2 linked regions of the Mytilus edulis genome follow. The protein of the gene in region 1 purifies or fractionates together with the protein of each later gene. This does not show direct contact. Links are inferred from orthologs where the notes say so. Each region holds a gene or a part of one and is shown on either strand. Other genes may lie near its edges.

Region 1 (3,939 bases):
AATTTCTCTTTTTTTCAAAATAAAAAAAAGTCTACCTACCTACCTACCCACTGTCTCTACCTTTGGTAGAGTTTGGGTAAAACAAAATATCTTTTAAGTGTGGCCTGAATAATTTCATTGAATCCATATTCATGTGACCTTCAATTTACCCCATTATCTAAAGATTGGTTGCACATTCAGTCCTGTTCAGCCATAAGGAAAAGAAAGTCAATATTGAAAGTGAAACAAAAGTGACCACAAAAGTGACCAATTTTGTTGACTGATTCGATCCACTAAAAAATTTATGGTATACAGGTAAAAATATTATATTTTTTGTTTAAGTCTCTTTTGGGTTAGGTGACTGTCAGCAGTCTTTGGAGGTCATCTAAATAGTTAATTAGATGGTGTCGATTCTAAAATATACACCAAATTCGGATATGTTTTATTGAGTAAATGTATTTCAACTATTTCAGACTTATTGCAATTTGGATATGAGTTTTAGTATATTTTTAAATGATAAATCATATATGAGAATTTGAGTCAAATGGTCACATGAATTTGACAGTTATGCTACTTTCAAGAGAAAATACTAATAGGATAGTGTTTTTTTCTCATCCTTTTAAGCAAAGTTCAATAGGTTAGTTGGATAATGTCATAATAAGATTTTATCATTGACTTAAATATGTATGTTCATTTGTCAGATCTATGCAAATACTCCCACGTGGTTGGCAATGTAATGGAATTTGATGCGACTGTCATACAAGTGAGAGGTTTAGTTAGCTATAAAACCAGGTTTAATCCACCATTTTCTACATAAGAAAATGTCTGTACCAAGTCAGGAATATGACAGTTGTTATCCATACATTTGATGTGTTTGAACTATTGATTTTGCCATTTGATTTGGGACTTTCCTTTTTGAATTTTTCTCGGAGTTCAGTATTTTTGTGTTTTTACTTTTTTCTAATACACCTAAACTATACATACTTAAAGAATAAGAAAAACCTACCACTGAGTCATCTGTGATCTTTACATTTAATTTTCCATCTGAGTGTCTGTATTTGGTAACAAATCTACACTGTTTAAAAATGGAGATAACTTTGATTAAGTCATATAAACAATGTACAGTACATGTACATGTATGCAACAAAACTAATTTAGGAAACCCTTATCATTCTCTGAGAGAAGAATACTAATAGATTCTGATTATAGTTGATCATCTCAAGGAGATTGATTTTCTCTCCGCTTGAGCAGGTACGGCGAAAGTGAGAAAAGCAATTGAGTTGAGGTGACCAATGATAATCTGTTTAATTTCATTAGCTTAGTTTTTAGCGATAATTTTCATATCACCAATTCTTCTGAGAAAGGAAATTATAAGTCAGTAAGATCAAAAGAAAGTTTCGTAAAATAGCAATAATCTTTAATATTGTATTGTGGGGAAGATGGGAGTCTACTCCTGTATTCAGAAGAAGATGATGAAAAACAAAAAAGAAATTATATACATGTTGTACATGTATTACATTAGACCAAATAATTAAGACGTCTGGAAAGGCTATTATGCTTTTTGCTTTAAATTTTACACCTTACAGTTACCTTAGAGTTGAAAAGTGAAAAAGTAGAATAGCCTTTCTAGACCTCATAATTATTTCGACTAGTATTAGTACATGTATATATAACATGAATCCGGGTCCCTTCGTGCCCAATCACATTTGCACCAAGGCTACCAGTATTTTTATTTTTGTGTTGAATAATTCTTAATCATGTTTTGGTGAGTGTATTATTATAAATATTTTTTTCATGGTTTCTTGTAAATAAAATGCGATTCTGAGATCAAAGGAGCCAAGCTGTTATGAACAAAAGCTTTTATAAACAATTATCTTTCATGTTTTTTATTTAAAATCTTCTGTTTTACTCATACCAGAGACATCTCTGCTCATACCAAGCTAGTCCGAGATTACTCTGATGTCAAACGGCTGTTTTGTCAGACAAGCTGGGGCCGTGCCCCAGCTTGTCTGGCAAAACAGCCTTTGACATCAGAGTAATCTCAGACTAATACCAAGCTAAATACGAAATACATGCAGTATTTCCATCAAAGTAAGTTAAAACAAAAATCATGAGTTTTAAACACTCAACAATATCACCAAATTCAGCTGTTTTATAGTTTTAAATAAAAACAATTGACAAGTCTCATACATTTAACATTAAATAATTAATCATCAAATTAATAAATAATATTTTAATTCCTCAAATTGGAATAAAATTGGGTGTGAACGTGTAGGGTGCAAACAGCATTCGGGGCCTAACATGTGAGGTGCGAACGTGTAGGGTGCAAAAGTATATTGGAACGGACCTGATACGTATAACATCCTTATATAATCTGCTACATTACACATTAGGCACAGGCACTTGTTTCTATCCATAGGAAGGTCAACTATCCATATAAATAGTCGACCTTCCTATGGATTAGTCCGAGATTACTCTGACGTCCAATGGCCCCAGCTTGTCTGGCAAAACAGCCGTTGGATGTCAGAGTTATCTCGGACTACCTATGGATAGAAACAAGTGCCTGTGGCATTAGGTCATCATCTCAACAAGAAAAAGAAAATGTTCACTTTTACTGTTACAGAGTGATCAAACTTACATGCAACCACACATACAAGTTATTGCTATAGTCATTGTTGTGACTGAGTGTTAAAATATGAAGATACATACATGTACTTTTAGTTAATACTATTTTTCTTTGGCCTACGATAGACAGAGACATTTATAAATAGTCATACCTTTGAAGGATCTTTCAGATATAACCGTTCTGCAGCTTTCGAAAAGTCATCCCATGATGTTATGTACGTCATTATGCCTGAGAACACTAGAAATATTGTAAATAAACAGCTGTCTGCTCTCAAAGCATGTACGTCAACAAACCGGAAGTAGTATAAAACGGGTGATGTAGAATGCAAATCATGATTTGAAACGAAGTTCGGAAAAGATTTAAACCCATTCCGCGTATTTATTATTATAATACATAGTTAAAGGTGGCATCAATGATTTGTATATATAGTACTATACAAATCCTTGGTGGCAATGGAGCTATACATAATGAAATATGATAAAACAATTAAAATAAAAGAAAAGCAATACATGAACCTAAGACCGCTGAATGCCTGGTCACCAAAAGATTGTTGCTGAATTTGTGTTTGCTTTTGAATTGAAATAATTGACTGTGAATAGAAGAAGCCAGTTGAAAGTATATATTTACAGCTTCTATTTGAATAGTTATTCTAAAGCTCGACTATTTTAATTTATTACTTGGGAATGTACATAATTTTTCCGATTATCTATCTATAACCCTTTGGCAAATCCTAATTTCTACTAACCGGATGACTTATCGGCAAATTGCACAAACCTATCGCAATATAAATTTATGCACTCAGTTTGCTTTATAATCTGGAATTCTGGATGCATTTATTTCATCTATCATATCTTTATATTTAAACAAAAATATTAGAAACAAAAGAGAAACAACTCGAGGTCAGAATACCGTTAGTAATGATGACAGTTTAAGTCCGCGGCTAGAATGAATTTTAAACACAAGAAAATTATGATCAATTATAAACTCGCTTTTACCTCAATAACATAAGAATACATATTGACAATCCAAATGATTGGTCCACGTAACCACGTGTACAACTATACACATAACAAAAACCGCCAAAAACATACTGTTCTTAAAAAACGTTACCATAAGACAACATGATTTTCCGCCGCTATGCTCCGAAACGCGGAAAAATACAATTATCATCTGATAAGTGTTATGATACGTCTCGATCAATTCTTGACTTTCCTAAATTTGTCTTGATTAGTCCTGACATTCTTGATAATATGTCTGAAGAGTTTTTGACACATTCTTGCCAGTCTTAAATAGTATTAAAACATTTGACTTTTCAACACTTTACAGAAGTATTC
Region 2 (3,939 bases), about 31 Mb from region 1:
TATTTCAGTGAAAATAGGTTTGAGAAGAACTTATTCATTGATTTCTTTGAAATATGTACATATTGGTCTTAAACTAATATCACAGGAACTTATTTAAAACTTTTAATATTAACTGGAACAAAATTCATGGAGCTATGATATTTGTTCCGGAACTTATTTCATATTTGGTCAAAAAATTAGTTCCGGAACAAATTTTACAGTGCTGGAACATATTTTCTGTGATATAAGTTCCGGCGGAACATATTTCCTATGAAATTAGTTCCAGCGGAACAAATGTCACGCCGGAACATATTTTTTGTTACACATCCAGTTGGGACCGGCAATTATCATCTTTTAAATTATATGGGACAAGTTCTGATGTCCCATGGCCCCAGCTTTTCAAAACAGCCGTTGGATGTCAGAGTAATCTTGGACTCAAGAAACAATGCTTTAAAGCAAAAAAAAATAATAACCTATCAAGACATCATAATTATTTGGAACAGGAAGCACCGGTCTATGACTTGAGGAAATTTTATTTATGCGTTTTGTGTAAATCTAAAGACACTGCATCACAGCAGCTTTTTAAGAGTTAGCAAAAATACGAGTATATGATGATGGAAACTGTCACTGTTATTGTAATTGATAGTCAATACAACTTTATTGATTTCAATTAAAAAAACATCAGCTGATGTCAGTGATGATGTTATCAATTATTGTGCAAAATTTCAATCAAACATGTCTTTTATCCATTTTTATACCAAATATCATAAAAAAAAACTAGACATCGTTATTTACCATTTTGAATTGATGTTTAAAGAATCATAATCTCATGATCAAGGATATTTTTTAAGTACTCGAAATTGATCTCATGGCATAGTTTGAGTTCTCTCCCCTTGTATCGGTGCATCATAAATTTAGACCGGAAACGAAATTCCACCTCATTTTCAAAGTTTAAATTATTGAAATTATCTGAATTATTATGATTGATGATTTAATTTTTCTCTCTATTATTTTTTGTTTCATAAGAAACTCATCAAATCTATAAGAAACTTATTATTATAAGTGATTAATTTTATTAAGAAAAAATTCATTGGACACCGGTCTATAAGGGGAAGTAACTGCTGCTAAACGTGTCAAAATTGAGATTGAGAGAACGAAAACTGGACAAAATGACACAAATGAACCATTCATTGGTTTTTAGATGAAAATATAGAAGCACAAATATAAAGATAATTATACAACCTAAAGTTACAAAAAAGCATTTTTTTCAAATATTACGAAAGTGCATTTATTTTTGGGCAGAAATATATCTGGAAACTTTCCATATTGTGCCATAAAGTCTTACATCAGAGAAAATACCAGTTTAAAATTTCAAAAAAGTTTAAGAAACAGTCATGGTTCTTGCAGATTTAGGGAGGAAAATTACCTCAGCGCTGAAATCTCTCAGCAATGCTACAATAATAAATGAAGAGGTAAGGTTTATAACTTTCTGGGGGTAAGTCCCATCTCGTCCATACTGGAACAGTGTAAATAAATACTAAAATTTAAATCTGTGCCGATACAGTGTGTTTAAATTTCTCCATTACATATGGTGATGGTCCTAATGATAAGAGGCTATATGTAGAATACCAATACAAAGTATTTGGTAGAAGTTTTAAAGATGAGGATATCCTCATGATCAATGCAATTGTTCCAGTTATACTGCTAGTTCGGCTACAGTTGTTTCGGCCATACTTTGTAAAGATGTTTCTGTAATGGATTTTCTTATTACAAAGAGAAGAAAATATAATTGTTTTCAGAAAGAAAGGTAAACAAATGGCAAAATGTATTTTAATTATACATTGTTGTACCATGTATACCATAAGGAGGGCGTCTCTTCCTATAAAAAGGGATACACAGATATGCTGATGGTATGGTTTACTTTTGTTTTAATGTCAATTAAATCAATGGGGTGCCATTTCATGGAAGTAATACATCAATAGGCAATGGGTAGCTAGACTGATTGGCTGAACCCAACTTTTTAAATGTGCTATAGATCATGGTTTAATCTAGGACTTTGAGGGCTTGAGTCACTTTTGCACGCTATTTAAATCAACCTTATTTTGTGTAACATCAAGGGACCAAGGATGTATATTACTAACTACATCTTTGACTTTGCCAAACTTGAAAGGACTTATAGGCATGCTTGGCAGTTATTTTTTATTTGACTAGTTTGGCCTTTATTATAATATATTTTACATGGGATCTGGAAATTTAGTTCTCAATTAGCCTTTAGTTTGTTCCAGGGGACATTCCTGATCAACAAAAGTTGGATTTCTTATTTTTATTTTTTAAACAAGGAATCACAGCAGAAATTAACTTGCAACACTGCATAATCATTTATTTTTTTAAATGCTAAACCGATATTTTGGAAACATTTCTATTAAGTTGGATTTGTATAAAATCTTTTTTGGAACAATTAAAATGACTGTAAGGAGGTTGGACAGTGGCGGATCCAGAACTTTTTATAAGGGGGGCGGGGCCTGCTGACTGACCTAAGGGGGGGGGGGGCCTCAGTCATGCTTCAGTGATTCCCTATATAATTAACCAAATTTTTCCCACAAAAGGAGGGCCCGGGCCCCCAGCCCCCTGGATCCGACTATGTTGTAAGCAAATCAAGAATAGATAACTTTTAATACATTCGGTTTTTAATGCTAAAATCTTTTTACACTTTCAAAATTTAAGTGACAAAATTAATTTGAAATACTTTCGTCTTTTTGAAACCGTTTCGTAAATTACAAAAATGACAAGCACTAGCAAAATCACTGCTTTAGACATAGTTTTCAAAGGTAAGACATATCATTCTACCCAGACACATTATTTTGACTCTAGCCTGACCAGTCATAAGCTGTGTGAAGTAGCAAATACCAATTTTTAAGTCTTTACATGATGTTTACTTTGACTTGGACTTTGTCGGAGGGGATTACAATTAATGAACCCATGATGTCCAGCGCTTGAGGCAAGGTATATATACATGTAGATGAATAAAAACCTAAATTGAAATACTTGGTTATGGTAATGAAAAATTAAAGTTATTTAAAAAATATCATGAATATGGGTTATAATTTCTTATAAACATGATAAATATTGACAGTTATTAAATTTAATAAAAGCCAGGTACAACTTTTTTTTCATTCATGTGTGTTTCAGGTCTTAAATGGCATGCTTAAGGAGATATGTGCAGCTCTATTGGAGGCTGATGTCAACATATTCTTAGTCAAACGGTTGAGAGAAAATGTCAGGTATGTAGATATTAAACTTTGAAATGACCATTGTGCCAGTAGTCGGTTGACTACATTTTCCTCTTTAAGCATGTTAAGGATTCATGTTCAATTTCCATGTCAAGGATCCATTCTCAATTTTATATTATGTTGACATTTTAAGACCAAAATTTAAGTCTCAATAGCATCACATGATAAACAAGCATGGATTAATGCAACAAAGGGGAAATGTGATCAGGGTTATAACGGTTGATTTCTTTAGACTTTTTTTCAGTAGTTAGAATATATACCATGTATCATGACTATTACAGACACATGTATGACATGTATGACGGCAAAGTTATTCATTTTATACTATAGTTCTAAAACAACTCTTTAACCATCTTACAGTCAAATACACAGTTATTTTACCTTTAATACATGTAATGACCAAGAGTCCGGAAACGGTAATATTTGTCAGTCTTGAACTAAACTGAAAGTGTTTGTCCTAAACATGGAATTGGGATTTAGGACAAATTTTATTTTTTAACAGAAATAATTTCGGTCATTTTGTTGAGATCGAGTTTCCAAAATCGCCATTTTGAACTTTTGTTTTGTTATCCCTTTCTTGTAATAAAACTGTCACTCCAGTATAGAGTTATAATCCTGAGTTCCCTCCTAATAACTATATTAATGCCTTGGGGAAGTATTGGCTAATGAT

Evidence for each region.
Region 2: the proteins of signal recognition particle 9 kDa protein-like (region 1) and signal recognition particle subunit SRP54 purify together in Homo sapiens (co-immunoprecipitation; 4 studies listed by BioGRID and IntAct, counting the BioPlex papers as one, with this or other methods). This does not show direct contact. The link is inferred for Mytilus edulis from reciprocal best matches to the Homo sapiens genes SRP9 and SRP54.

Annotation. Positions count from the first base shown.
Region 1 is NC_092346.1:35,393,720-35,397,658, forward strand, and holds the start of signal recognition particle 9 kDa protein-like, read right to left. Parts: upstream 2,919-3,939; 5' UTR 2,829-2,918; coding exon 2,757-2,828; intron 1,055-2,756; coding exon 986-1,054; intron 1-985. UniProt on the Homo sapiens protein: Component of the signal recognition particle (SRP) complex, a ribonucleoprotein complex that mediates the cotranslational targeting of secretory and membrane proteins to the endoplasmic reticulum (ER).
Region 2 is NC_092346.1:4,738,572-4,742,510, reverse strand, and holds the start of signal recognition particle subunit SRP54, read left to right. Parts: upstream 1-1,064; 5' UTR 1,065-1,373; coding exon 1,374-1,451; intron 1,452-3,168; coding exon 3,169-3,260; intron 3,261-3,939. Other genes in the region: acyl-CoA:lysophosphatidylglycerol acyltransferase 1-like, read right to left, coding at 775-777. UniProt on the Homo sapiens protein: Component of the signal recognition particle (SRP) complex, a ribonucleoprotein complex that mediates the cotranslational targeting of secretory and membrane proteins to the endoplasmic reticulum (ER).